4 linked regions of the Notamacropus eugenii genome follow. The protein of the gene in region 4 interacts with the protein of the main gene of each other region in a pairwise test. Links are inferred from orthologs where the notes say so. Each region holds a gene or a part of one and is shown on either strand. Other genes may lie near its edges.

Evidence for each region.
Region 1: the proteins of KLC3 (region 4) and BICDL2 interact in binary tests that used the Homo sapiens proteins (3 or more experiments, as listed by UniProt). The two-hybrid records come from large-scale screens. The link is inferred for Notamacropus eugenii from reciprocal best matches to the Homo sapiens genes KLC3 and BICDL2.
Region 2: the proteins of KLC3 (region 4) and CEP57L1 interact in binary tests that used the Homo sapiens proteins (3 or more experiments, as listed by UniProt). The two-hybrid records come from large-scale screens. The link is inferred for Notamacropus eugenii from reciprocal best matches to the Homo sapiens genes KLC3 and CEP57L1.
Region 3: the proteins of KLC3 (region 4) and TSNAX interact in binary tests that used the Homo sapiens proteins (3 or more experiments, as listed by UniProt). The two-hybrid records come from large-scale screens. The link is inferred for Notamacropus eugenii from reciprocal best matches to the Homo sapiens genes KLC3 and TSNAX.

The regions. Positions count from the first base shown.
Region 1 is NC_092872.1:56,607,315-56,614,855, reverse strand, and holds the start of BICDL2 (BICD family-like cargo adapter 2), read left to right. Parts: upstream 1-4,450; 5' UTR 4,451-5,343; coding exon 5,344-5,428; intron 5,429-6,095; coding exon 6,096-6,406; intron 6,407-7,541. Other genes in the region: THOC6 (THO complex subunit 6), read right to left, coding at 3,421-3,906.
Region 2 is NC_092873.1:188,929,017-188,937,175, forward strand, and holds the start of CEP57L1 (centrosomal protein CEP57L1), read left to right. Parts: upstream 1-4,788; 5' UTR 4,789-4,984; coding exon 4,985-5,002; intron 5,003-8,159. UniProt on the Homo sapiens protein: Centrosomal protein which may be required for microtubule attachment to centrosomes.
Region 3 is NC_092873.1:389,855,927-389,863,502, forward strand, and holds the start of TSNAX (translin-associated protein X), read left to right. Parts: upstream 1-4,353; 5' UTR 4,354-4,437; intron 4,438-7,576.
Region 4 is NC_092876.1:27,702,575-27,710,158, forward strand, and holds the start of KLC3 (kinesin light chain 3), read left to right. Parts: upstream 1-4,279; coding exon 4,280-4,715; intron 4,716-7,584. UniProt on the Homo sapiens protein: Kinesin is a microtubule-associated force-producing protein that may play a role in organelle transport. Plays a role during spermiogenesis in the development of the sperm tail midpiece and in the normal function of spermatozoa.

The sequences.
Region 1 (7,541 bases), on a different chromosome or scaffold from region 4:
AGCCAGGGAAGGCCCAGGGCTGGGCTGAGGGGAGATTTCTGTTCTCTCTCACCAAGGCAGACCCCTCACAGTTTCTCCCCTAGACATACTCAATAAACAAATTAAGAGGAATTCTCTCTTCCAAGGCTCTGAGAAGTATCCTTCCCCACCCTGCTGAGGGGTAGTTGTTATTTGTGGCTACCTCCCCATTTGAGCATCCTACATTGTCTTACCTGCAACCCTTGTCCCAAGGTACAGGGAAGAGACCTGTACCAATGGAGGTTGGGACAGGGGTGGCATAATTCCACAGGTATATGTCCCAACCCCTTTCCCCCAACCTGGCTGTGAGCTTGCTTTAGAAAGAGGCCAAGTTGCAGTGGGTTCTGGCTGCCTCTCAGCACCCACCACAGGACCTCATGTGCACAGAAACACATGCAGCCCCACTTAAGGAATTTTGAGAGGTAGGTGGCCTTTTAAAAAAAATCATCTGATCCATGGCTCATTTCCCTATTTTACAGAAGAAAACAGAAACAGAAGTAGTGGCAGAGACAGGACTAATAACTCATCTTTAATTGAATCTGCCCATCTGGATAACTGTCTCATTCACTATTAGAACCTACCACATATAAACCATAGGAGTCTTGCAGCTTTTGTCTCATAACAGTCCTATGAGGCAGGTAGGCAGGACAAAGCTTATCCTCATTTTTGCAGAGATGAAAACTGAGGCCCAGAAAGAGAAAGTGACTTGCTCAGGGCTGATCGTACTCATCCAGTAGCTGCATAGGCTGGACTGCAAATATATTTTCTGATGGCTAAACCAGAGTTGCTAGGCTAACCAGATACTAGGCTGCTACTGTCCTCCAACCAGTACGAAGCCCAGTCCTGTTACAGAGAAGTAGTAAGGTTTTTTTCTGAGAGCTATTTACCTCCGTGACAACTCTGGGTATGGCTCTGCTCATCCTTCTGGGGATATCTCTGCCTTCAATCTCTTCTCTGGCCTGGGTCCCCCAATAGGTACACCCCTCTCTCTCCCACCAACCTCTCCCTATCCCTGATGACCCAGATTTCTTGAGTCCTCTTAGTTTCCCTTCCTCAAGGGAAACTTTCAGTGGGAATCTCCATTCCAGGGCTTAGTTCTGCTTTACAAAAACAGAGAGGAGAGGGGGAAAATGAAATGGGACAGGAATGGAGAAGAAGAAAGGGGAAGAGAGAAAGAGAAGAGGAGACATTTTGTCCTTTGCACCATCCCTCTCTCTCAGGTAGCCAGTGTTGAATAGGGCCACCAACTCCCAGTTTCCTCCAGGAAGCCAGGCATCACGGTTCCCTAAGCCCTCCTCAATAAATGGGGCCCCAGCTCTCCTGCCAGTTGGCTATTCCAGATCAATATTGACAAGCTGAGTGTTTCTGGGAAGGAGGTGGGAGGAAGGGCCAAACCATGACCACTAATGGGAATGAGGTTAGTCAGAGAAGAAGTTGAAAGAAGTGAAAGAGGAAAGTGCAGGGAGGATGAGACAGCCCTATTCCCCAGCTACCATCCTTCCCATTCTCTCTTCTCTTTTACTGACAAAATTCTGAAGACAGTCTACACTTGCTGCCTGTGCTTCTCCATTCATTAGACCTCAGCTCCTTAATAAAGTAAATACTCTGATCCTTAAATAGAAAAAGGAATTTAAAAAGCTTTCCATTCATTAGTACAGACACTGGGGTTGAGCTTTTTTCCCACTGAAAATGATTGCATACATAGGTCAGGGGTCAGGGACTCACAAACTGACCATATTTGCCATGTTTCAAAGCTCTAGAGTATGACTTCCTGTTAATCTTCCAAAGTATATTTACTAAGGCAGTTCACTGCATTGGGCAGAGTGTTGGAGATGGAATGGGTGACCTGGGTTGGGGTCTATCTCTGTCACAATGTGTCTGTGGCCAAATCACTTCCCCTCTAAAAGTTCTCAATGAACTCCTCTATAATAATCCCTGCCCTATTTCCATGAATTAATTAGGGATAATTAATCCTAGAATGGAAGATGCCTTTAAAATATCAGAGCTGAAAGGTGACTTAGATATAATCTAATCCAACCCACCATTTGACCCAGTAGGAAGCACACTCAGAAAAGAAGTGATCTGCCCAAGGCTGGTTACACTCTGACTCAGTGGCTGTGTTAAATCAGAACCAGTCTCCTTTCCCCAACAAAAAAGGCTGCTTCCTAGACAAAGGGAATAATGTAATTCTGAGGTGCTTTTCCCCCTCACAACTCCGGCAATATGGGGTTTGGTCAATTTTGTTTGTTTGGCTGATTTCCTAGGTACAAAACACACCTCACATTTAAATGGTTTGATTTGAAAATGTCTTCTCTTGATGGTGAGAAGATTCTAAGATGCCAAAATAGAAGCTAGAAAAGGCAAAATGGAGACAGAGACAAAAAGAGAAAGAGAAAAATAGGAGAGAAGAGAAGAGAGGGAAAAAGAGGGTAGAGAGACAGGAAGAGAGAGAGAAAGGAGGGTAAGGGCCATGGGGGCTCAGAAGAAAAAGACATCTGTGTGAGGGTCCTGAAGGTGTTTCTAGAAGAGATTAGTACTTGAGCAAGGCCAGGAATGACTACAGAATTGGAACTGGCCAAGAAGAGGAAATAAAAGGACTTCTAGGAAGGGAGTGGGGGTGGGGTTAGGTTTAGAGTGGCTGAAAATGAATGATGGTGCTCAGGTTGGGAGAGCCTTCTGCTTTGACAGATCTGGGCTCCCAGAGGTAGCCTGAAATGAGGCTGGAAAGGGAGATTGGAGCTAGACTCTGAATAGCCCTGAATGCCAGGACAGAAGAGTTTGGAATTTATTTGGGGAACTATCTTGAAGTATTTGAGCAGGGGAGTGGTCTGTTAAGATCTATGCATAAGGAAGGCAGAGAGAACAATTAGAAGGCTATCAGTGTGGTCCAGTAGACTGGTGATGAGGAGTTGACCTAAGATGATGGAATAAGCATTATTGTGTAAGGATCATAGATGAACTGGAAGTAACTTCCAGAGATACCCAGTACAACTACCTTGTTTTATAGACAAGGAAATCGAGGTTCAGTTAAGTTGTGACTTGTCCGAGATCACTGAGGTAGGGTTTGAACTCAGGTCCTCTGACTCCAGAATCTGTGTTCTTTCAACTGTAACTACATTGATTGAATTTGAGATTTTCTGTGGGGCGGGGGAAGACGAAAAGGAGTGGAGCAAAAAACAAAGAGTAAAAGATGATTCTGAGGTTTGAGGCTTGGATGACTAGGAGGATGGTGATATCATAGGATAGAAACAGAAGAATCAGGGGGAAGGACAGGTTTGGGGTCAGGGGTTAAGATGATCAGGTCAGTTTTGGAGATAGTGTTGATGTGAATTCTAGGAGGTTGGTTGTTTTCCTTCATTCTCAAAGAGGACCAAAATGACATCACCACAACAAAGTAAAATTTTAGTGTGTCCAACTGTGGCTGATCAGACCAATATGAGCTTGGAATGCTCTACCACAGGTTGGGCACAGATAGTCCATGTGAATTTTTGGGTTGGATACTCCAAATTTGCGCATCCTACATTTTACTTTGTGCTGTCTCAATTCTCCTTTGCTCATAGAGCACAGCACCCTTTCTGATGTGGGCACACCATGCTGAGCAGTCCTGTGCCAGTGTCTCCCATGTTGCACAGTCAAATCCAAAGATCTTGAGAGAAACCTTGAGAGTGTCCTTGTATCACTTCTTATGACCACCATGTGATCGCCTGCCCCATGTGAGTTCTCCATAAAATAGTCTTTTTGGCAAGTGTACATTTTGCATTCGAACAATGAGGCCAGCCCATCGGAGTTGTGCTCTCTGAAGCATAGTTTGAATACTTGGCAGTTCAGCTCAAGCAAGGACTTCAGTAATGTGAATTCCAGGTGTAGACATCCAGTAAACATATAGGTCTGTATTTAGGGAAAGATGAGGGTTAGAGGCTTAAATCTGGGAATTATCTGCAGAGACTACTCAAAGTAGATAGACTTTGGAAATCATTTTTATGGTCACTTGGTACCTAATCATTGAACTCTATTGATATTTAATTATTTGAAAGAAGATGAGCACCTTCTCCCCCAAGAGCAGGGATGCGCTTCTGACTTGCTTCGGGCTGAGCACGTAGGGGCATTAATGATTAAATGGGAATTGTCTGCCAAAGCCTCCCCACAGCCTGAGACCATGGTTATGTCCAGACGCTTTGGGGTCTGTGGGACTGACTTTAAGTCTGAAGATGTTTGCATTGAACTGAACCACAAGAGGGCCACCCAGCTCCTCCCAAGGCCACCACCCCTCTCACCTGTGTTCCAGTATACCTGGCCCCACCCCCCGGAAGAGAAGTGACGGAGGCCAGGAGAGAGACCGAGAGAGATCTGAGAATGGGAAGCCAGGTCCAATAGGGGGCCTCACCCCCCACCCTCCCAGCGATACAGGTGGGACTATGGATGGGACTATGGAACTGACTACATGGGTCATGTCTGTAGAGGGAGGCTGAGGCTAGGAACCCAGACACCTGTGTTAATGGAAGAGAATTAGCTCTGGGAGAAAGAGACTGAAAGGGCCAGGTATCCTGGTTCCAGAAGGCAGACTAAGCCTAACAGCCAAGGTTTCAAGGTCTGGGAAAGTCAGAGAACAAGGGCAAGGAGCCTTGAATTCGGGGGAGAAGATTGATCCTGAAGGCTTAGACTCCCATGTTCTCGGAGGGTAGGGGAGCCTGCTGGAAAGGATGCTTCAGGAGAACCTGGTCAGTGGTAGCAGGAGCAGGGACTGAGACCACAATATCTTTTCTGGGGAACTCTGGGGCAGGGTGAGCACTTTGGAAGCAGGGTTTATGGTTCTAGGACCTGAGAGGTAGGAAAGGCAGAATAAACTGGGCTGACAGGTCCAAGATTAAGGAAGAGGAGAGGTCAAGAGATATATCTTGGGAGGGAAGGAGGGAAGGGGTCTCATAGAGGGTGCTATCCCTTCCTATCCCCTCTATTCCTTACCAAAGGGGAAACTGGGAGCAAGGGCATAAAGAATAAGGGAAGAAGGTGAAAGGTGGGGGAGGTAGGATCTGGGAACTGGAAGCCAAGAACAGGTTCAAGATATGGTCTCCAGGGGTGGGGCCCAGGAAGTAAACAGAAACCGAGAGCCATAGCCCAACACAACCAGTTAGCCTGCTTAGGAGTTAAGTAAAGGGAGAAAACAGGTCTAGGAGTCCAGATGCCTAGATCCTGGGAGATAGAAAAGGGAAGGAAAACTAGGGGTGAAGACAATTGAATGCTGGAATGGGAAAGCAGTCTAAGGTGGCTAGGATATCTGGGTCCTAGAAGAGGGCTAGAGAGCAGAATGCTTGTTCCTGGGAGAGAATGGGCTTGGGGAGTGTGTGGAACAGAGTACTTGAATCTTGGGATCAAGCAGAGCTGAAGGGATCAGGACATGTAGGTCCAAGAGGTAAGAGAGGGCTGGGGGACGTATGCAGCCTCAAACAAAGCAGGGCTGGAACAATGAGGACAGTTAAGTCCACAGAAGGAAGATCCTAAAAACTGGGATTGACTCAATGCTTGGGCACTAGGAAGCTTTCACAGTGATAGATGTTATTTGGTTCCCTCCATGCCTCAGTTACCCTTTGGGTCAGTAACGGGAACTAGGCAAACATACATATCATTAACCTTTTATAGCACAAGGATTATTTGACTACAGAATTAGAAAGGAAGGAAGTCTGGGATGGAAAGTTTCCACTATGTTGAGGGTGGTTCTGGGGTTTGACCTTGGGATAACTTGAGGGTTCAGAGAAAGGAGTGAGGGAAGGAATGCTAGGAATCAGGAAGCAGGTGGGTCAGGAGCTGAGAAGCCAGAATGCCTGAATGGAAAGAGTTGGGGACCAGGATGTCTGGGACCAAGGAGAGGGAAGAGTTGAAAACTGGGAGCTAGGACACTGGTTCTAGAGTTGAGCTAGACATTACTGGGAGTGGAGGAAATTGGGGATGAGCATGCCCATGTCTTAAGTAGGACAGTAATCTGGGGACCAGGATACCTAGGTTCTGAGGTAGTCACCTAGAGGCTGGGAGAGCTCTCATTAGCCTCTTTCTCTAGCTGGCCTCTCCCTTCCTCCCTGTAGATGCTTGGGGAAGCATGAACTCCCCCAGTAGTCCCCAGTTCCCTTCGGGGCTGCTCTCAGGAAGTACCTCCCCAAGTGGGGATGATGGCTTCTTCCCCTTTGTGCTGGAGAGGCGAGATTCCTTCTTGGGGGGGCCAGGGCCTGGGGATGAAAAGCCAGAGGATGAGCCTGAGGACCTGGCTGTGCTGCTTCAGCGAAAGGAGAAGGACTTACTACTGGCAGCTGAGCTGGGCAAGATGCTTTTAGAACGGAATGAGGAGCTAAGCAGAAGCTTGGAAGTTCTCAAGGCTCAACATGCTGAACGGGAGGAAGTAAGTATGATTGATGCCCATCCCTCCCCCCGCCCCAGCAAAGAGCCCATCCAGGTACGTAGGGATCCTTTGCTAGGAAGCAGATGACTTGCCCCTAGGCCTGGCCCTGCCTCATATGACCCTGGTAGTCACTGTCCTTCACTGAAGATCCGGTCACCCATCTGTAAAATGGAGAAAGGGATTGGACTAATGTTTTCTAAGATCACTCCTTGCTATAAACTTCAGTATTCCATAATTCTAAACTCTCTCCAATATGTGGTAAGTTTCTCACTCCTCCACAGACACACACATACCTCCCTTTCTACCTCTAGATTGGCCATCTGGAATGCCCTTAATTTCTGCCTCCTGGCTTCCTCCAAGTCCCAATTAAAATCTCACCTTCTACAGGAACCTTTCCGCAGTCCCTCCTAAGTCCTTCCACTGCGCCTTCCCTCTGTTGAGCATTTCCAGTTTCTCCTGCGTGCATCTTGTTTGCATGTAATCGCTGGTATGCTGTTTTTCTTTTTAGATTGTAAGTTCCTTGATTTCAGGGACTGTGTTTTTTACCTTTCTCTGTATCACCAGCATTTAGCCTAGTGCCTGGCTCATAGGAGTCACTCCATAAATGCTTATTTACCAATTGTCCCTGCCCCCTAACCCCTCCAAAACCAGAATGGTGTAGTAGAACATTGAACAGATTCTAAGAAGCAGCTCTGGCCCTAACTGGCTGCGTGACTGTTCTCCTTTTGTCTGCATCTAGAAAATGAGGGAGGCATGACAGAACCACACATATGGTCCTTAAGGTCCCTTCTAGGCAGAGGTGTGCTATAAAGTCTGCTCCTAGGACCTGACTGTTAAATTTTCATTGTAAGCATTTATACCTTGGATATTTACAAAAGCTACTCATCAGGGCTTAGTTTATTTTATTGATTGTCTAGATTTGTGATGGTGAAAATGTTAATAATTCAAGGTAAGCTGAAAAGTGTGTGGTGCATACATATTAATTTTCCCCCAGAGAGCCAGTTGTTAAATACTTAACAGTACACTCCTGCATCTAATTCTAAGATTTTAGACAATATAAATCCCATAGGGATCATTTCTCCACAACTCATACCTGAGCTCTGCCTAGACAGAATTTGTTTAGTTAGACTAGATG
Region 2 (8,159 bases), on a different chromosome or scaffold from region 4:
ATTAAATGTCCTTTTTTTTTTCATTCAGGATTACACTTAACTTTGCTGGGTAAATTACCCTTGGTCATAACCTTAGCTCTTTTGCTCTATGAAATATAGCATTCCAAGACCTATGGTCCTTCAGTATAGTAGCTGCTAGATCTTATGTAATCCTTATTGTAGCTCCATCATATTTAAATTATTTTTTACTTGTTGCTTGCAATATTTTCTCCTTAATCTGGAAACTTTGAAACTGGGCTATGATATCCTTGTAAGTTTTCCTCCTGAGATTTCTTTCAGGAGGTGATCAGTAGATTTTTTTTCTATTTCTACTTTGCCTCCTTGTTCTATAATTTAAGGGCAAAATATTTTAAAATATTTCTTTGGTATACGTGTAATTTAATCATTTATTAAAGATGAAAGCAGATTTGTATGCTAATGAAATGATGTGCTTATTTTTACATAAAGAATTAAATCTTGGTGGAATATTTGATAATGTCGGATGTAGAGTATCTTCAACATTTTTTCAGAGTTGATTGATATTTTGACTTTATAATTGTCTATGCTGAGATTTACACCTAAATATGTAGTACCAAGTGGCAGAAGTATGTTTAGGGACATTTCAGAAATTGCTGGAAATTCTGCCTTAATCCCGAGTCAAAATTCATTTAATTTTTTTTTTTAAGGAAACCCAATTTTTAAACTTGTATCACTTAATAACTTGGCAAATTCTTCTTGAACTTTTAATGGCAGATGACTGATGTTTTGATTTCAATTGAATATGGTTTATGAACCCAACTTTGTTTTTTAGAATCAAAATTTGGAGGGAGATATTTCTGAAACTATGTCTCTAGGCACTTCGGATGAGCAGTTGTAACTCTTACAATTAAATCTTTGGGAAGATTATTTTTAATTATAAAATCATCTGTTGGTGTAAACATTTCTAAAGAGTCATTTTCTACCCTATTCTTCCATATGTTAACTTTTTTATACACATACACACACACACACATACACATATATACATATCCTTGTCTGACATTTTAGCAGATTGAGAGTTAAATTAATTTGATTTTTATTTAATAGTTTAGTAAAAAATGATTGAGATTTCCTCTAAGAGAGAACTCCTTTCTAATGTTTTGGAAATCATTATGTTAGTAGTGATAATGCACTGATGATAATGCTTATTCTCTTCATCTGAATGGTGTTTCTGCTTCTTATTTCTCCCCTCAAGTCTTGATTGTGATAATGTTCCAGTTAAGAGGTAACTAGAAGAAATTCTTGTATGTATGAAACTAATGAACTTTACAGAAAAATGAATGAATATTGTGGACTGGTTTAGGATGTAGAAAGCCCTTATTTTCTCCCTCTGTAAAGGCAAGTTCCTTCAGATGTCCTTCTGGACCTTTCTCTTGACTATACCAGTAAAATATCAGACACATCTAGTGGGTAGACTATGAAAAATTGTGGGAGTGTGCATTTCATATAAGGAGATGCTAATTCTAGCTTATACTTTAGAATAAGAGCAATTAAACTTACAGATGTTGTAAGTTCTTTATGCAGCTGCGGGTTGGTGGTGGGGTAGTAGCCAATTGGAATAATTCTTTTGTAACTGAAAAGAGTTCATTTGAAAGAATCAAAGAATCAAGAGCTAATTTGTGATAAACTGGTGACCTAAAAGGAATGGTGGAGAAGAGAAGCTATGCCACAAAACTGCAAATAGGGCAAATGTCTCCATTTTGAAAAACGAGGAAGACGGTAGATTGCACATTTAAGTTGGACAACTTGACATTAATCCTTAGTAAAATTCTAGATTATTAAACTTAAGTCTTGTGACACTTTGAAAAATAAAGTAGAAGGGGGCGGAGCCAAGATGGCGAAGTAGAAAGACGCACATACACATAGCTCCGAACCCACAAACCACAGAACGGCTAGAGGGGACCAACCCAGGGCGAATTCTGCACCCAGAGACCACGGAATATTGGAGCGAGGGAGATTTCTGTTCCAGAGAGACCTGCAAACCTCTCGCAGGGGGTCCTTCGCGCCGTGGACTGGGCGCTGGGACGGGAAGCAGAGGGCAGCCCTACCACGACCACGACACCGTGAGGAAAAGATCCGAGAGGGCTACAGGGACGGGATCTCCAGCGGCCACACGGGTCCCCCCACCCACAGAGGGACCTGCAAACCTCTCTCGCAAAAGGTCCGTCGCACTGCAGACACAGAGTCCAGCCCGGACCTGTGGCGTCTGCGGCTCCGAGAGGCACAGATCTGAGAAGGCTCCAGAGACGGGATCTCCAGCGGCGGCACAAGCCCCCCCACCAACAGGTGACTGACGGGGGTAGGTAAGAGAGTCTCTTTGGCGGGTTGAGAGGGGAGTGGGGTGCCCCCATGGCTCGGGTTCCCCCAGGAGATAGAAGCTGAGAGGCAGCTACAGACAGGGGCTCCCCAAACGGGCGGGAGCCTGGATCCATTGTGGAAGGTCTGTGCATAAACCCCCTGAGGGAACTGAGCCAGAGAGGCGGCCCTGCCCCTGACCACCTGAACTTAATTCTCACACTGAATAGCAGCCCTGCCCCCGCCAAAAACCCTAAGGCAGGAAGCAGCATTTGAATCTCAGTCCCCAAACGCTGGCTGGGAGGACCAGGAGGCGAGGTGGGTGTGAGGAGAACATTCAGAGGTCAGGTCACTGGTTGGGGAGAATGCCCAAAAAAGGGAAAAGAAACAAAACGATTGAAGGGTACTTTCTCGGAGAAAAGACACTTCCTCCCTTCCTTGCTGATGGGGAGGAACAATGCTTGCCATCAGGCAAAGACACAGAAATCGAGGATTCTGTGTCCCAGCCCACCCAATGGGCTCGGGCCATGGAAGAGCTCAAGAGGAATTTTGAAAATCAAGTTAGAGAGGTGGAGGAAAGACTGGGAAGGGAAATGAGAGGGATGAGGGAGAAGCATGAAAAGCAGATCAGCTCCCTCCTAAAGGAGAACCAAAAAAATCATGAAGAAATTGGCACCTTGAGAACTAGCCTAACTCAGTTGGCAAGGGAGGTGCAAGGGGCCAATGAAGAGAAGAATGCTTTCAAAAGCAGAATAAACCAAATGGAAAAGGAGATTCAAAAGCTCACTGAAGAAAATAGATCTTTCAAAACTGGAATGGTACAGATGGACGCTAAGGACTTTATGAGAAAGACAGATATCTCAGAACATAGCATGCAGATTCGAAAAATGGAAGATAATGTGAAATATCTTATTGGAAAAACAACTGACCTGGAAAATAGAATCAAGAGAGACAATGTAAAAATTCTGGGACTACCTGAAAACCATGATCAAAAGAAGAGCCTAGATATCATCTTCCATGAAATTATCAAGGAAAACTGCCCTGAGATTCTAGAACCAGAAGGCAAAATAAATATTCAAGGAATCCGCAGAACACCGCATGAAAGAGATCCAAAAAGAGAAACTCCTAGGAGCATTGTGGCCAAATTACAGAATTCCCAGGTGAAAGAGAAAATATTTCAAGCAGCTAGAAAGAAACAATTCAAGTATTGTGGAAATACAATCAGGATAGCACAAGATCTGGCACCCTCTACATTGAGGGATAGAAGGGAATGGAATAGGATATTCCAGAAGTCAAAGGGACTAGGACTGAAGCCAAGAATCACCTACCCAGCAAAAGTGACTATAATACTTCAGGAGAAAAAATGGTCTTTCAATGAAATAGAGGACTTTCAAATTTTCCTGATGAAAAGACCAGAGCTGGAAAGAAAATTTGACTTTCTAACACAAGCATGAAGAGAACCATGAAAAGGTGAACAGCAAAGAGAAGTCATAAGGGACTTACTAAAGTTGAACTGTTTACATTCCTACATGGAAAGACAATATTTGTAACTCTTGAAACATTTCAGTATCTGGGTATTGGGTGGGAGTACACACACACACACATGCACACATGCACACATACATAGAGACAGAATGCACAGAGTGAATTGAAGAGGATGGGATCATATCTTAAAAAAAAAATGAAATCAAGCAGTGAGAGAGAAATATTGGGAGGAGAAAGGGAGAAGTTATATGGGGCAAATTATCTCTCATAAAAGAGGCAAGCAAAAGACTTATTAGTGGTGGGATAAAGAGGGGAGGCAAGAGAAAAACATGAGGTCTACTCTCATCACATTCCACTAAAGGAAAGAATATAATGCACACTCATTTTGATAGGAAAACCTATCTCATAATACAGGAGAGTGGGGGACAGGGGCACAAGCAGGGTGGGGGGGAGGATGGAGGGGAGGGCATGGGGAGGAGAATGCAATCCGAGGTCGACACTCATGGGGAGGGAAAGGACCATAAGAAAATAGAAGTAATGGGGGACAGGATAGGATGGAGGGAAATATAGTTAGTCCTATACAACACAACTAGTATGGAAATCATTTGCAAAACTAAACAGATTTGGCCTATATTGAATTGCTTGTCTTCCAAGGGGAAGGGGTGGAGAGGGAGGGAGCTAAAGAAGTTGGAAGTCAAAGTGTTAGGACCAAATGTAATGTTCTTACCACTGGGTAACAAGAAATACAGGTTAAGGGGTCAAGAAAGCTATCTGGCCCTACAGGACAAAAGAGAAGACGGAGACAAGGGCAGGTAGGGAGGATAGAGGAGAGAGCAGATAGGTCACAGGGGCAATTAGAAAGCTTGGGTTTGAGGGGGGAGGGGATAAAAGGGGAGAAAATTTGTAACCCAAAATTGTGTGAAAATAAATGTTAAAAGTTAAATTAAAAAAAAAAAAGAAAAATAAAGTAGTAATCATCAAAAGACAACATATATTACACAAGTAGATCAGGAATGTATAATAAACATTACTATACATGAATTTCATCAAAACATGTAACAAGTTATCCTACAAAATCCTTGTGAACAGATTGTGGACATATAGGCTGAATGATGCATAGAGCCTGAATTTATTGAAATATCTAGCCCAAAGAAGACTTAATGGACCATCATCAGTCTTGACGTAGATGTGGGGATCCGATGAGGTAATGCATTATAAATTATTTATAAACTTTTAAGTGCTATGGAAATGTCAGCAATTGTTTTAGTACCTGGAATGATATGATTGGGTCTAAGTAAATCAAATCTAGTAATAACTAAAATTTATACATCACTTTAAAGTTTGCAAAGTGCTTTTTGTATATTATCTCATTTGATCTCACAACCCACAATTTTATATGGATAAATATAAAGTTCTCTACTTAAGTTAAAAGAAAATCAAATATATAAACACAAAGTTGAAGAAAACTGCATGGTATTTTCATGTGAAAAAGACATGGAAATTTAAGTGAACGTATATATCCAATCTAAGACAATAGTGTGACATGGAAACCTAAATAGTGTAAGTCTCTGTTAATAGAAGCATTGTGTCCAGAACAAGGGAAACATGAGCCATATCTACACTGCCAAGATCAGACCACCTATGCCATATTATATTCCTTTCAGGATTTTTTATTGTAGGAAGGTTATTTACGGCTAAAGCTCATTGAGATAAGGGTGGCCAATATGGTGAAGAGACTCAAATTCTCATCATTTCAGATTCATTTGGAAGGTGGGGTTATTTAGCAGGGAACATGATCTCTATCTTCAACGGTTTGAAGGGTGGTTATGTCAAAAGGGGATTTAGGGTGATTTTATTTGATTACAGCAGGCAGAATTGGAACTAAGAGATAAAAGTTATTGGAAAGGAGATTTTAGCTGAGCATAAAGAATTACCTGATGGTTAGAATTATCCTAAAAACAGAATGGACTCCCTTAGGAAATAATTTTCTTATCACATAAGGTCTTCAAGGAAATGTTGGATCAAAAGGATCACTTGTTGGGAATGCCATGGATCTCTACTAAAGGGTAGGATCTGATGTGATGTAATGTCCCTTTTCCACTCTGAGGTCTTAACTGGGCTGCTTGGAAATCTAGTGAGTTTGATTTATTGCTTCAGTGATACTAGTATTGGAAGCCTAGTCCTAGTTAATACAGGGAGCTGAAGGTCCCTTTTCAAAATCTAGAGTCTTAATTTGTTGACTATGGGGAATGAGGTGTGTGCAGCAAGTATAGTCTTAGACCACTGCCAGGAAGTAACGAAATAGGTAGGAAAAAAGTCTTGTAAATAATAAAACTGAATTGTTCACTCTTGGTTGCATCTCATCTAGCAAGGATATGCTGGGAAATTCCAACAATTTCTGCATCTGGCTTGCACAGCTTTTAGGAGAGATTTGGTATATACACTGAAGTTGGAATTCAGACCTACTCATGAGACAACAAGCATTCTTTGATGTGCTTTAAAGGATGAAGAAGTAGAAAAATTACATCAAGAACTGTCCAACCCCCCCTCTAAAGTAAGGTAGCATATATGTGGTGACTTCATTGAGAAAGTGGACACAATGGAAGCTGGTAAAAAATGTGAAACATTGGAAACTGGTTCAGTATCAAAAAATGAAAAAGATCAAAAAGTCACTAATAAGTTTTATTCTTGTTATGTCACAAATATGATATGTAATTCAGTGTGCCAGAACCAAAAAAATGTAACAAATGAAAATATTAGCAGTTGGGAAATAATGATTTATTTTGGGGTCATTTCTTATCCATCTGTCAGTACGTAGTAAGATCACTGGTTAGAATAGAGGTTAAAATTGAAACCAAACTAGAAGAACAAAGTTAAAAAGATAGTGAATAGAATTATAACCTAGGCTATTACAACCAAGTGTTAGCTCTGAAAAAAATGCAAAATTGATAAAGGCACCAACTCTGTTGATCATTATTTCTTGGAGAAGTTGAAGAAACAATTGCTACAATAAGAAGACCAAAAGAGCCTAAAAGATGCCTTACTGATGCTTCTTGCCAAGAGGAGAGACATGGAAACCTAGGGCAACAATGATTTAGAATACAAGCTTATTTGTACAATATTATGGAAGAAGAAATGGAAGATTGGAAGTAATTTTGAGGCAGCTGGTGATACAGTGGATAGAATTCTGGGCCTGGAGTTCAAATGTGGCCTTAGTTGTATGACCCTGGGCAGGTCACTTAACCTCTGATTCTTTCAGTTTCCTCAACTGTAAAATGGAAGTAATAATACCACCTACCTCTTAGAGTTGTTTTGAGGGTAAAATGAGATAATATTTTATGTATTTTTCTCAATTACATGTAAATTTTTTAACATTACTTTTTTTAAATTTTGAGTTCCAAATTCCCCCTCTCCCTCCCTTTGCTTCCTGCCTTGAGAACGTCATGCAAAACATATTTCTAAATTAACCATGTTACAAAAGAAACACAAACCAGAAAAAAAAACCAAGAAAAATAAGATTTTAGAAAGTATGCTTCAGTCTGCATTCAGACTCCTTCAGTTTTTTCTCTGAAGGTGGATAGCATTTTTTTCATCATAAGTCCTTCAGAATTGTCTTGGATAAAATGAGATAACATTTGTAAAAAGTGCTTAGCTCAGTGTTTGGCACATAGTAGGTCCCATGTAAATGCTTATTCCTTTCCTCTTACCCCAATACTGCCTCACAAAACAGCAAAAGGCATTGGAGTAGAAAATATGCCTATGGAGAGCTTGGTGTGAATTGGAAGGAAAACAACAAATAGATATAAGATGGAACAGATCTGCCAGTATGCCCATAGCTACTTATTGCCTAGGACAATGTAATGACTACATTGGTATCTTTAATATCTGATCTATGTTCTATGTGGGAAGTAGAAATGACATGATGATAATATGAAATCAGAAAAAAATAACTGAACCTGACCAAATGGCAGAGCTATAAATGAGGTGTTCTGACTGCTACTTTTCCCTAGAGCACAAGAATTTAGTACTTTTCTCTTTTTAGTAAGAATTAGTTAAGAGAGCAAGGGAATTGTGTCAGTTCATTAAGAGTGTATTTGGCTCACCAGAATGGACATGCATCTAAAAGTATGAAGACAGTTTTCAAACTAAAAATGAGTTTCGAGATTTCTTTTGAAGTTGTTTGAATTTTAAAACACATTTTCCTATAGAAACAATGCTATAAAACAGTAATTATGTTCAAAAATTCTATTTAGGTCTCTAATGTCTTTTTTGAGCACTTAGGTGCTGTGGTCTTCGGTATATTTATATAAAATGATGATATAATTTCATTGACTCTGGCTTCTTTAAGAATAATGTGATTA
Region 3 (7,576 bases), on a different chromosome or scaffold from region 4:
TCTGGATCTATTTTCCAGGTCAGTTGTTTTTCCAATGAGATATTTCACATTGTTTTCTATTTTTTCATTCTTTTGGTTTTGTTTTGTAATTTCTTGGTTTCTCATAAAGCTTCCATCTGTTCCATTCTAATTTTTAAAGAATTATTTTCTTCAGTGAGCTTTTGAACCTCCTTTTCCATTTGGCTAATTCTGCTTTTTAAAGCATTCTTCTCCTCATTGGCTTTTTGGTCCTCTTTTGCCATTTGGGTTACTCTATTTTTAAAGGTATTATTTTATTCAGCATTTCCTGGGTCTCCTTTAGCAAGGTGTTGACTCATTTTTCATGGTTTTCTTGCATCACTCTCATTTCTTTTTCCAATTTTTCCTCCACTTATCTTACTTGATTTTCAAAATCTTTTTTGAGCTCTTCCATGACCTGAGACCATTGCATATTTTTTTTTGGAGGTTTTGGATGTGGAAGCCTTGACTTTTATGTCTTCCTCTGATGGCATGCTTTGTTCCTCATCATGTGAGAGGATGGAGAACATACCTTTTCACCAAGAAAGTAACATTCTGTAGTCTTTCACCCCTCCCCCTTTTTGGGCATTTTCCTAGCCAGTTACTTGACTTTTGAGTCCTTTGTCAAGTGGAGAGTATACTCTAGGGATCTGTAAGTTCTCAGTTCCCCCAAGGTGGCACAATCAAGGGAGAGGAGTTTACTCCTCTCCTGGCCTGCACTCTTGTCTTTTCTGCCTAAGATCTGTGAGTAGGATTCCCTCTCCAGAGGCTCCACCAGCTCCACCATGCCAGTGCTCCTCCTCATCCCAGGACTGCCACTCAGGGCTAAGATTCAGATCAGTAGCTCAATTCCCCCAAGGTCTTTAGACTGAGGGCTTCAAAAGTGGACTCTGCTGCTGCAGTGGCTGCTGCTGCCTTGGGGCCAAGGCTTACCCTGGAGAAAGAGTTTTTTCTTACATTTGAAGCTGTTTGGCTTTTGTCAGTTGAGAAATCTGGAAACCGCAGCTGCTACCCATGATTCCATGCCCTGAAGCTTGCTCCAGTCCTGTCCAGGTGGCCATGGCTGGACTGCACTCCGCTTGGAGCTCAGTGTGATAGACCTTTCCTGTTGGTCTTCCAGGCTGTCTTGGGTTAGACATCTCTTTCACTCTGTTGTTTTGTGGCTTCTGCTGCTCTAGAATTTGTTTAGAATCACTTTTTACAGGTATTTTATGGGCTATGGGGGTAGAGTTAGAGCAGGTCCATCCTTCTACGCTACCATCTTGGCTTCACCCCCATGCCCGAGTTATGCAATGATTTAAAATAAGTAATTTTGTGGACACAGAGATATTACTGGAGTAGAATGACTGAATCACTGTATGCAATTTGCTTCATTTTTTTTTTTTAATTTGGCCCCTAGTCAGTTTATTTTAAGGGAGACTGATAGTGTCACAAACTCAGTGCCAAGACTCTCAGCTTCTTCTTGCTGTATTCCTTTGTGTCTTTTCATACAACTGCCCTTTTGCACTCAATGTCACCAAGCTATGGGGTTGTGAATGGATGTGAAAGAATTGTTCAGAAGCATCTGGATTTAGAACCAACTGTGATCTGGGTCTTGCCCTCTAGATATAGTATCCTACCAAGTTTTACCTTTTCTTTTTTTTAATTAGGTTAACTGAAAATTGATATTTGATGCTTGAATTAGTCATTAAAGGTTTATTATACTTTTAAACAAATAACTTATTTGAACAATTAACTAACAGCTGTGAAACACCTCTTATTTTACCATTATGGAAAGATGCAGAAAAGGTAAGCAATTCAATTCAATAAACATGTTTAAGGACCTACTACATGTAAGGTTTTGTTCTAGGCTCTGAGGAAACAAAGAGAAAAAAATAGCTATAGACCCTGCTCTAAAGGAGCCATAAGTCTAATATAGCAGAACGAAAAGGAGAAGTACCTAGAATTTACCAAATTAGTAAATTACAAAGTGAGAAAGAATTTTAAGAGCTCATCTCTTTCTATCTTCTATCTGGAAGGAGTTGGTACAATTATTGCAATATGTAAGCAGATTTGCCTCGAAGTGGGGGCATTAGGCTGAAGGAAGGAAATAAACATTTATTAAATGCCTACTATGTGTGAGGCACTTTATTAAGTACATTACAAATATTATTGCATTTGATCCTCACAACAATCTTGAATGCTATTATTATTACCATTTGACAGTTAAGGAACTAAGGTTAAGTGACTTGCCTAGGGTCTCACAGTTAATAAATGTCTGAGGCTGAATTTGAATGCAGGTCTTCCTAAGTCCAGATCAAGATATCTATCTCCTGTACCACCTAGCTGTAACTTTAAAACCAACGTTCTTAACCTCTGTTCCATGAACTTTCTTTTTAATCCATATTTTGATAATTGAATTTTAATATAACTTATTTTCTTTATAATTCTATGTATCTTATTTTTAAAACATTTAAAAATATTACTCTGAGATCTGAATTCTGAATATCTGAATTCCATATGCTTCACCAGACTGCCTAAGGGACCCATGGCACAAAATAGGTTAAGAAGCCCAGGGCTAAAGGATCATGACGATCCAAAAGGTTGTATGCTTTCCCTAAAGGAGCAAGATGGGAGGATTGGATTAGGCCAGGGATTCTTAAATTTGTATTCTAGATCCCTTCAACATCTGATGAAGTCTGACAGAATTATATTTTTAAATGAATGAAATAAAATACGTAAGTTTACAAACCAATTATATTGAAATATATTTATAAAAATAATTTTGAAAATCAAAGCCACAGACTCTAGGTTAAGAACCCCTGGCACTAAACAAAATCTAAGGTCCTTCTTGGTTCTAAAAATATAAAAATATCTGACAGAAGATATAGATTTAGATCTCTTGAAGAAGTTTTTCATGTTCCATGAAGAATAAAGTGGACCTAGGATGCCACCAAGAACTAAGGAGAAGGAATGAGGAAAACTAAAAGTGTCTCTACTGAGCCATCTGAAGGTGTCCGTGTTTTGACCTGATGGGAGCAATCAACACACACATTGTCTTTCCTCAACTTGTTCATTCAGAAGGTGGCATAGGAGGTGATAGAAAGTCTTCTAAGGCTTGTCAGAGCTGAGCATCAGTATCTACTTCTGGTGATTCACATGTAAATAAATGATATTTCTAGAAACAACCTGGAAATAATTGCTAAAGATTATGAGCCACTGGGATGTAAACTGAATAATTTAGGCATGCACTGAAATGATGTATTCATTTTTGCTGCCAACTGAAGAAAAGGGCAATGAAGTGAACAGCTGTCTGAGGCTGTCTAAAGCAATGAGGTCAGAGTATAGGATTTAGAATTCTGGATCTTGGCACAAACTCCAGTAATGATGGGCTGTTGCCAGGGATGGAGTATACCTAAAGAGAACTACGAAAAATGTATTTGCTTGGAGACTAGCCAATATGATTAAGAAGGCATTGAATTTTAAAGAGAAAAGGAAGGAGAAAAGTACTCAAATACAACTACTAACTCAGATGCTACAGAGAACAGCTGGAATGACAGAGAGATAATACCAACAGTGGATTTCAGTAATTCACAGGGGCTGATAATGCAGAAGAGGGGCAGATATGGGTTCACGTGGGTTCAGGTATCAATTTATTGTTGCCTAGAATATAGGTAAAACAAAAATGAGCTGGGGAATTAATATATGGAGGTAACTATGATTTCATAGGAGTGATTAAGACTTGGTGGGATCCAACTCACAACTACTCTGCAAGTCAGCCAATAGGTATTTATTATGCCTTTACTATGTGACTTTGTACAACTCCGCCTCACTTCAATCTAATTCACACAAACATCAAGATATCACTCCAAGATGTTATTGATCCTCTTTGAAAATAAAGGACAAACAACAACAATGTGACATGAACTGTGCTATTCACTGGGGATATAAAGAAAAACAAAAAAATCGTTCCTATCCTCAAGAGGCTCACATTCTAATGAGGAAGATAACATATCAATAACTAGGGATATACAGGATATATACAGAGTAGATGAAGATAGTCTGAAAAGGAAAGGAATTAGCAGGTGTAGGCTTCCTAAAGAAGGTACATCTTAAAAAGAATCCTTAAGTCTTAAAGGAAGTCAGAGAAGATAAGAGGCAGAGATAAGAGGCAAAGCCTTTGAGACTTGGGAGACAGCCAATGTAAAGGCACAGAGACTGAAGACAGAGTGTTCTGTTCAAGGCATAACAAGTAAGCTAGTAGAACTGGATCATTCAGTGCTTGCTGGGCTGAAAATGAAAGAAGAGGCTGGGCCATAAAAAGCTTTCAATACCAAAAAGAGGGCATTATATTTGACCCTGGAGGTAGCAGGGAGTCATTGGAGCTCTTTGAGCAGAGGGATATGTGTAGGGGGAAGGTGAAATGATCTGATCTATACTTTTGGAAAATCACCTTGGAAGGTGAGTAGATGATGGATTGAAGTAGAGGGAGACTCGAGGCAGGGAGATGAATTAGAAGGCTATCATAGTAGTCCAGGTAAGAGGTGACGAGAGCCTTTACCAATGTGACTGTATGAGTGGAGAGAAGGAAACATATGAAAAAGGTTAAGGTAGAAATGATAAGATTTAGCTATGGATTCCATAGGTCAGGTGAGGGAGAGTGAGGAGTCCAATATGATACTGAGGTTTTGAACCTGGGGCACTGGAAGGATGGTGGTGCTCTTGATAATAATAGGGAAATTGGGAAGAAGGGAAAGCTTTAGGGGAAAATTAATGAGTTTTGTTTTAGACATGTGGCATTTGACATGCCTGTGGGATACCAGTTCCAGAAGTCAAGAGGCAGTTGGAAATATATGAATATAACTCAACAGAGAGACTAGGACGGGAAGTCATATAACCTGGGAGTCATTTACTTAGAGATGATAACTGAACCCATGGGAGCTGATGAGATCACAAAGTGAGAGAATATTGAGGAAAAAAAAAGAAGGGGGCTCAGGACAGAGCCTTCAGAGTTACCTTCAGAGTTTGTAAGCATAACATAAATGAAGAAAAAGATTCTAAGAAGTGGTTGAATAGGTAGGAATAGAACCAGGAGACAGCAATGCCCTGAAAACCCAGAAAGAAGAGAGCCCCTACTTTCTAAAGTTGAACTGTTTACATTCCTACATGGAAAGATAATATTTGTAACTCTTGAAACTTTTCTCAGTATTTGGGTAGTTGGAGGGATTACACACACACACAGAGCACAGGGTGAGTTGAATAAGAAGGGATGATACCTAAAAAAATAAAATTAAGAGATGAGAGAGGACTATATTGGGAGGAGAAAGGGATAAATGGAATGGGGCAAATTATCTCTCATAAAAGAGACTAGAAAAAGCTTTTTCAATGGAGGAGGAAAGGGAGGAGGTGAGAAGAAAAAAGTGAAGCTTACTCTCATCGCATTTGGTTTAAGGAAGGAATAACATGCTCACTCAATTTGGTATGAAAATCTGTCTTACAGTACAGGAAAGTAGGGGGAAAGGGGATAAGCAGTGTGGCGGGATGATAGAAGGGAGGGCAAATGGGAGGAGGGAGCAATTAGAAGTAAACACTTTTGGGGAGGGACAAGGTCAAAAGAGAGAACAGATTAAATGGGGGGCAGGATAGGCTGGAGGGAAATAAAGTTAGTTTTACACAACATGACTACTATGGAAGTCTTTTGCAAAACTACACATCTATAGCCTATATTGAATTACTTGCCTTCTCAATAGGGATGGGTGGGGAGGGAGGAAGGAAGAGAAGTTGGAACTCAAAGTTTTAGGAATGAATATTGAGAATTGTTTTTGCATGCAACTGGGAAATAAGAAATACAGGTAATGGGGTATAAAAATCTATCTTGCCCTACAAAAAAAGAGAGAAGATGAAGATAAGGGAAGGGTGGGGTGTGATAGAAGGGAGGGCAAATTGGGGGAAGGGGTAATCAGAATGGACAGAGTTTTGGGGTGGGGGAAGGGAGACATAGGGAGAAAATTTGGAACTCAAAATTTTGTGGAAATGAATGTTGAAAACTAGAAATAAATAAATAAACATTAAGAAAAAGCAGAGAGCCCCTAGAAGAGCAAGGTGGTCAACAGCATCAAATGTTTCAGAAATTTCAAAAAGGGTTGGGATAGAGAAAAGGGGATTAGATTTCATAGTCACAAAATCATTGGTAACTTTGGAGAAAGCAGTTTCAGTTGTAAGATAAGTTTGGAAGTCAGATTGCACAAGGTTTAGAAGAGAGTGAGAGAGGAGTAAGTAGAGGCTCCAAATGTTAGCCAAAAAAAGAAAGATATAAGATTATAACTAGGAAGGCTAATCTGATGAAGTAAGGTTTAAAGGATTGGGGAGACATAAGCATATTTGTAGGCAGCAGGGAAAGAGCCAGTAAGTAGATAGGGTAAGATTGAAGATAGGAGAGAGAATGGTGATAATAATGAGAGAAATTTGTTGGAGAAGCTATTAGGAGATTGTATCAAGAGGACATGTAGAGGGCCTTGCCTTGGCAAGGAGAAAGGCCACCTCTTTATCTGAGATTGGAGTAAAGAAAAAGATAACAGAGAAAGATATTCAAGTAATATGAGATGAGGAAGAGGAAAGAAGTGAGGAGGAACCTGAGAATTGTCTCCAATTTTTCTGTAAAATATGAGGGGCTTTGCTGGGAGGTGAAAGGTGTGAAGTAGGAGGTTGAGAAGAGACAAAAAGATTTAGATCAGCTATTATGGAGAGTGGGAAACATATATGTTTCCCTCTCTCCACTCATACATGTGGAGGAATAGAATGCTTGCTTTGTTGCAACAGGGTCCAGTTAAGTTCAGAAAACAAATTTTTAGTGAGTTCAGTCAGCAGGGTTTCATGTCCTCTAGCTCTGTGCAGCAGCGTATGAACAGGAAGGAAGGTGGCAAGATGGAGGACTATATGCTTATGCTTGGATAAACATGATCAGTGTTAGGACAAGTGGGGGAGGAATGTAGGGTGAAGAGTAATATAGAGTTGAGTTAATTCATGAGGGTTTAAGATAAGGAAGGGAGAAGAGTATATAGACAGTATGAGGTGATGGCCTGGGAAAATAAGAAACAGCTCTCATGGTGAGGATGAAGGTTAGGGGTTGTGAGGAAGAGGGAAATATCAGATAAAAGAATTTCAGATTTCATGAACATGGGTGTGGAACACTTGTGTGTGAGGGCAAGATCAAGGATGTGACCATCTTTGTGTGCAGCTTAGCTATAGCAGAGGAATATGTTATAACAACTGAACAAATTGAACGGCATCAATATATATGAAAGCAAGAAGAGAAGAGAAAAACTATGAATCCAACACTGAATTCATTGAGGGTAAAAGAAGAATGTCCTAGAAATCAACAGAAAATAGCCTCTAGGAGCTGGATTTGATTATACATTTTAATGTCATGATCCTGAAAGGAGAAGAGATTGCTTAGCAAAGGTTACTGAAAGAAGTCTGAAATTGGAGAAGGAAATGGCAAACCACTCCAATATCTCTTCCACGAAAGCCCCAAATAGGGTCATAAAGAGTCTAACATGACAGAAAACCACTGAACTTTGAGTGGCAATGGGAAGTAAGG
Region 4 (7,584 bases):
ATATGTTACATATACATACATATATGTATGATAAGCTCCAGAATTTATTTCCTTTCATATTGAATCAGAGTATACAGGATTGACTGAAAGCCAAGGGGTCTGGAGACTAAAAAATGATTGGAAATTCCTAATGAAGATGACTCCCAATGACTACATTCAGATTTTATCTTCCCCCTGGACATCACTCTCACATGACCAACCTTCTTCTGGACATCCCTACCTATATATCAAATTCAGAATATCCCCCCCCCCCAATGAATTAATTCCACCTCAAAATCACTCCTCAAAACCCTTATTTCTATGGGGAAAGCACCACCAACTTTCCTGTCACCCAGGTTCAAAATCTCAGTGAGACCAGCAAGATGACCAGAGAGTTGCAATCTACAAACTTTTCCAACCTGAGAACCTCAGAAGAAAGAAACTCTGCCCAAGAAATGAGTAAATACAGCTTAGTATTTAAGAAGATTTAGTTCTGCATCAGGAGCTTTAATTTCTGTCCTAAAGATAAGAAGACAGAACCTCCATAAGTAAGGTAAAAATGTCATTAACAGAAAATGTTAACAGAGAGTTTTCATTTCCTATCCTTGTGTGTTCATCCTTCGTTGCTGAAGAAGACCATGCCACCAGAGAAATAATGACATGACTTGCACTTGACTTTGTTTTGAGTGAAGGAGGGCTGTGCAGGTCAGCAGCCTCACTTTCCTCCAGAGCTATCTGAATCCAGCCACCAAATATTCATCAGGATGAGTCATCCTGTCCTTAATCACATCTAACTCCAGGCACCTATCAAAGTAGGTACAACCAAGGACTTGTGATTCAGGAACCTCACAGAGCAGTAATCTTACCCAAATCCCACTGGCCCCACAAGAAGTAGCAGACACTAATTCTACCCAGCCACTTAAAGGAGAAGGCTTGATGGAACATAAAACACTATGAAGGTAGAAATCAAACCATGAGGATCAGTGTCACAGACTGGAGGGGAATATTGATTTAAGAGAAACAGAAACCCACTCAGGACCAGTCTTCTCCTAGATTTCTCTCAAGGCCCTGCTGACTCCCACATCTCCCAACTCAAGGTGCTACTGGGGCTACCTTGGGAGGTCTATCTGTGCAAGGGTGAGAAGTAAAGTGATTTAGATTCCTGAAGGTAGGTGGAAAAGAGGACAATTGAAATACCCAAGAGTAACTGAGAAAGACTGAAAAAAATTCCAGCCCCCAAACAGATAAACTACAAGAGAACATAATATTTATAGAAGGAAGGAGTAAACCTCAAAAAAGAAACCAAAACTCTTGGAACAAATATTATAATATGATGATAAATGGACGAGTGTTACCTAATGAAAGAGAGGCTCTTCCAGAAATCATGAGATGATAGCAAGAAACTCCAGAATGGTTCAGAAGAAAAATACAACTTTTAAAAGCGGAAATTATGAATGAAATTAGGACAGAATTCAAAGCTCCCAATGCAGAATTAAAAAACACAAATAGAGTAAGAAAAATTGAATACATGATAAAGAACAAGAATTTGGAATGCAAATAAATACATTAAGTGGACAGAAATTCCACAGAAAAGAAGCAAAAGGCAATAATGTTACAAGAACACATGAACCCTATACAAGCCCAAGTGGCTGACTTTGAAGATAAGCTGCATAGGGATTGTTTAAGGATGAAAATTCTCCCAGAAGAACATGAAAAATCAAACATTCTTGAATACCCTCATGCAGGAAATAATTTAAGAAAAACATCAAAACCTTGGAGTCATCTTTGACGCCTTCCTTTTCCCTCATCCCCCTATATTTAATCAATATTCTAAGCTCCTTGAGGGCAAGGACTATCTTTTGCCTTTTTTTGTATCACCAGTATTTAACACAGTGCCTGGCACATAGTAGGAACTTAATAAATGTCAATTGATTAATTGATCTATTGATTAATTAGTTTCTCTTGACATCTTTTTCTCTCTTAAAACATCTCTCACATTTATCCCTTTCTCTTCAGGCCCATGACCACTACTCAGGCTTGAGTTCTAATCTCCTTTCATGGATTCCAACAAAATAGCTTTCTTGGCTTCCTTGCTTGTAGTCTCTCTTCTTTGCAATTATGCTCCACATAGATGCCAAACTGATCTACTACAACAGAATCCCAACAATAACACTTCCCTTCTCAAGATTTTCTATCCCTTCTAATATAAAATATAATTATAAAATATAATATAAAATACAATTTCCTCAGGCCTTTAAAGTCCTTTGCAGTCTGCTTCCACCTACCTTTTCAGACATTTCATTTTACTTCCCTTCACAAGTTTAGATTTCTAGTCAAATTCTAGCCATTCCATTTCCCGCCTCCATATCTTTGCATAGGTCATTCTGATTGCCTGAAATGTACTCCCTCCTCACCATATAGTTCAGTTGCCATCCTCTGCTCAAAACCTTTCCTGATATTCCTATTTGTTGGTATTTTCTCCCCTTTTCAGCTGATCATGTATTTAGTTATCTGTTTCCAGGGAGATAGGCTAGAATAGTCTAGTGAATATAGTACTGAACTTGGAGTCAGGAAGATCTGAGTTCATATCCTGCCTCTGACATTTACCAACTACGTCACTATGAAAAAGTCACACTCTCTTAACTCAGCTTCTATGACCATAAAAAGAAAAACAAAAACAAAAACAGTAGGAGAGGGTCAGTATTAATTCTTCTTTTATTTGCTTACCTTGCAGAGTTGCTACGAGACTCAAATGAGATAATGTATATAAGAAACTATGTAAATATTGTTATTAACCTTCTTATTTTTATTTTTTGCTGTTATTGCATCCTCCAGTAGAATGTGAGCTCTTTGAAGGCAAGAATTACTTTTTATTATTATCTTTATAGCCCCAACAGCCGACATTCCTGGCATTTTTCACAGAGCAGGTGCTTAAAAATTATCATTTGATGAATTCAGTTAGGAATCTATAACTCTAAAGTTCTAAGGAGTAGGGATATTGTGAAGGAAAATTCTATAGGGATTAAAAAATAAAAGTCAACACTTGGGCTTTAAAAAAATCAACTTTTCAAGCACAAGATGGGAGAAGTGTGTCTAGATATCAGTTCTGAAAAAGAAGTGGGGGGGAGTGTCTTAGTGGTTTGTAAGACCTCTAAACAATGTGGACTAGCAGCAAGAAAAGTTAATGCAGTCTTAGGTTCCTTTCAGATAAGCATAGTATACCCTGGACTTTCCATTCATGAGCTATTGAGGAAGCTTCATTTCTTGGAGAGCCAACCCCAGGCAGGAAGACCTGGTTTCAAGTCTTGCCTTTGATATATATGGACTGTGACCCTGTGCAAGTCTAGTGTCCTAGATGACTCTCCAGAATTAGAAATTGTGGAGCTGCTGCTAATTCATATTTACTAGCAGAGAAGCAATTACAGGACTAGGAGGTCCCTTCACCAATGAAATTTTCAAAAGTAAATTTTTAATAATTGTATAGAATTAGGGAGGTGACTGTAGTCAGGCCCTGATCATATCCACACCTGGAATATTGTGTTCGGTTCTGGGTACACATTTTAGGAAGGGTGTTGATTAGATGGAGAGTATCCAGAAGAGAGGGACAGTTGAGTGGTACAATGCGTAGAGTTCCAGGCTTGGAATCAGGAAGACTCATCTTCCTGAGTTCAAATCCAGCCTCAGACACTTACTAGCTGTGTGACCTTGGGCAAGTCACTTCACCCTGTTTGCCTTAGTTTCCTCACCTGTCAAAGGAGTTGAAGAAAGAAACTGCAGTATCTCTTTCAAGAAAACCGAAGATGAAGTCACGGAGAATCGAACACGATTGAACAACATCAAGAGGAGGGCAACGAGAACGGTCGAGGATCTTGAGTTCATGTCATATAAGGAGGGGTCGGAGGAACTGGGGAAGAGGAGACTCAGGGAGTTACCTGGTAGCTTTCCCCAAGAATCTAAAGGATTGTCCTATGGCCAAGAGATTAGCCCATGGGGGCGGAACAGGGGGCAGGGGGCGGTGGGAGTTCACAGAATCACAAAGGTTAAGAGATGGAAGAGATTTCGGCGAGCAGCCAGTTCAGCTTCCATCCAGTAGGAACCCTTGAATGATATCCTCGAGCAGCAGTCCTCCAATTTCGGCTTGGAGATCCCCTCGAAGTAGGGGCTGCCCACTCCCCTAGGGGACGGCTCTCCCTGGTGGGAAGCTTGGGACATCGAGCCTAGTCTGCCTGCCTTTTGGCTGCTCATGGGGCAGCTGTATCCAGACGTCAGCAAAGCCTTTTTTAAACTTTATTGTTCAACAATGAGATCTGTCCACATGGGGAGTGAGCTGTCTCCCGGCCTGCCGCATTCGGACTGCCCCAAGCGGACGACCCAGACCCAAGCGCCGGCCGCAGCTCCGCGACTCGGAAGAAAGTGCTTTAGAAGCGTCTCTGACGTCACGGCTCCCCCATTCAGGGCTCCCCACCCCCAACTGCGCCCACAGAGCACCACGGGTAGAACCTCACCTGCAGGGAGCAGGGCGGCCCCTCCCCTCCCTAATCCTGGCTTCGGCCCCGCCTCCCCCGGAGCCTCCTCGGAGCCCTCCAGCAGGCTCCCAGGAGAAGGCTGGGGAGGCGGCAGCTGCGGAGCGAGCCCTAGCGACAGCGACAGCGACAGGGACAGCGACAGTGAGAGCGACAGCACGGACTGGAGCTGGAGCGGGAGCGGGAGCTCCGGGGAGAACGGAGTGCAGACAGGTAGCGAAGCGGCCCAGCGGATGGGGGCCCAGGGCACTCCCGGCTCCGGCTCCCCACACCCCTAGCCTCCCTCCAAGGTCCCTTCCACCCTCCTGCCTCCTCCAGTAGTCCCTCCAGGGCCCCCTCCATCCCCTTGCATCCCCAATACTCTCTCCAGGGCCCCCTCCACCTCCCTGCCTCCCTCTGTCCCCCTCCCTCCAGGGCTCCCTCCACCCTCTTTGCCTCCTTCCATTCCCTTCCCTCCATAACCCCTCTTTCCTTCCCTCTGTACCTCCTCCCTTTTTCTATCTTTCTGTCCCTTCCCTCTATTGCCCCTTCCCCCTCTTTTCCTTCCTCTGTTCCCCTCCCTACATTACCCTTCCCTTTTCTTCCCTTTATCCCCCTCTTTCTCTTCCTCCATCCTCCTCCCTCCATCACCCCCACCGTAACCATACACCATCCATCCCACTCTCCGTTCATCTCCTTCCTCCTCAATCCTGCTACTTTCACCACAAGGGTGTCCCTGGCTCCCCTAGTCCCGCCCCCTCCCCCCCAGGATTCCAAACTCAGATCCCCCCACATGCATACACTTGCCGTCCCTCCCCCTCCGCACAGGTAAACAGGAGCCAGGGCGGGGTGGGGCGGGGCCAGTGCTTGCCGGTGTGGTAGGACTGGGGCCTCCGAGTGAGTTGACCTAGCGACTGGTGGGTGTTGGGGGGATGCGAACTGGGGACCATGAACCTCTCTGTGTGTGGAGCTGTGATTGTGGGTCGGCTCAGAGGAGGGATGGTCTAGGTGACAAACAACAACGTGGGTCTGACCGGGGAGTCCACAGAACTTGGTGCCCATCCTGACCGGGCAGCACTGACCTGGTTGCCTGTCCAATCCCTTCTCTAGGTTTCTCTTATCTAATGAAAAAAAAAAAAAGCCAGGGGTAGGACTGGGGGAGGATGTTGATGCATGACTGAAAGTCTATCGCAGTCCCGAAACCCTAAATTCTGCAAAGTGGTGTGTGGGAGTCAGGGTTCTAGGAGCAGAGCCATACATAGCCAGATGAGGGTGGAAGAGTGTATACCAAGCTATGTGGAATCCAGAAGGCAGTGCAGGCAGGCCGGGTCCATGTTGGAAAGGTGTGTGTAAGGTATGGAGGCAGTGTGTAACCCTGTGAGATTTTCTTCTGGGGAAGAAAACTGTCTCCAAGGGCAAAACTCAGACATCATCTGTTTGTGGTCCCTTCCAGTTTGGAAGTTCACTTGGTTCTCCTAAGGTCTCTTGTTCTTACTCCACTTTTTAAGGTCCCTCCAAGTTCTGAATCTGTTTTTTCTAAGGGCCCTCCTTGGTCTGGCATTCTGTGCTTTAAGGTCTCTTTTAGCAATGGCATCCTATATTCTTTGGCCCTTTCCAAAGATGTCAGACTATGGCAATCTAGAGACCAGCCAAGTTCAACCCTCTAATTTTACAGATAAGGACACTGAGGACCATGAAGAAGGGCCTTGCACAGGGTTATTTGGTGAGTTAGTTAGGACTGGCCCTAGAACCCAGATCTACTCTATGATCTGGGATGCATATGAACTCAGCTACAGTAGGGGTCACCCTTGGTGAGGTGGCCGACCACCTGCGTACCCATCCAACACATAGGGGCCACGCCTGATATGGACATCTGTGTCTGTCTCTACATGCCCAAAGCCATCCTGCTTGGCCTGTCTAAGAAGCTGGATGGTGTCCACCCACATCCTGGCTGGGGAGTGACTGGGGAAGAGACATAAAGCCAGCTGTCCCCATGGCGGGGCATGCTTGTCCTCCTTTCCCTAGACCACAGGGATGACCTCTAAGTGATGAAGTAGGTTTCTTCAAGTTTCTCTCACACTCCCACCAGGCACCACTGATCTCTCTGCTCTGGTCTTCCCCACCCTTGCCGAGGCAGCTGTCAGACTGGTTCCCAGCACAAGAAGGCGGCAGGGATGAGGTCATGGGGAAGAAGCTTCACCAGACACACACCCCCACCCCACCCCAGCACACACACACCCAAGCAACCCTCTGCAACAATGCAGAACTGGTCAGGAGTCATTTCCATTCACCAAGCATCTATTAAGCACCCTAGGAGGGGAAAGAAAGGAAAAACAAGCATTTATACAGCACCTCTTGTATACAAGGAAACTGTGTTGAGCCCTGGCAATAGAAAGGTACAAAATGATCTGGGGGGCTAGTCCCGTGAACCCAGTGTGTTACTTTGGACATATCACTTCCCTCTCCCAGCCTCTCTCCTCTGTAGAAGTGGAGTTACAGTCTCCAATCTGTTCCAGCTCTGAAGTTTATCATGTTTTTATTCTTTGTTAACAAAAGCTGGCATTTATATATATTGCTTTAAACACTTTACATGCTCTGTCTCACTGAATCCTTGGAAGACAGGTACTCTAAGCATCCCCATTTCAGAGAGGGGAGATGGAAGTCGAGAATAATAAAGTGACCAATCCAGAGTCTTACAGCTAGCAAGTTGCCTGAGGAAGCATTTAAACCTAGGTTTTTCTGACTCCAAGCTCAGTGATTATACCAGGGAGTTTCTTTTGTTCTATATTCTCTCCCCACTGTGATATTCTCTGTTCAATGATCTGAGCATGTATATATGTATGTGTATGTATATATGTATATATATATATGGATAGATATAGAGATAAAGATATGATATATTTTATATATATATATATAGACAGAGAGAAAGAGAGAGAGAGAGAGAGAGAGATTGATTAAAATTGAGACTGAGACTAACTCTAGGTCGTGCAACACAGACCCCACCTCTCACCCTCCCCACATTTGTTTCATAGTTTGGGGAAGTGATCAGGACCTGGACTTGAGCCTGAATTTCCTTTCTTCACCTTTAATGTTAACATGT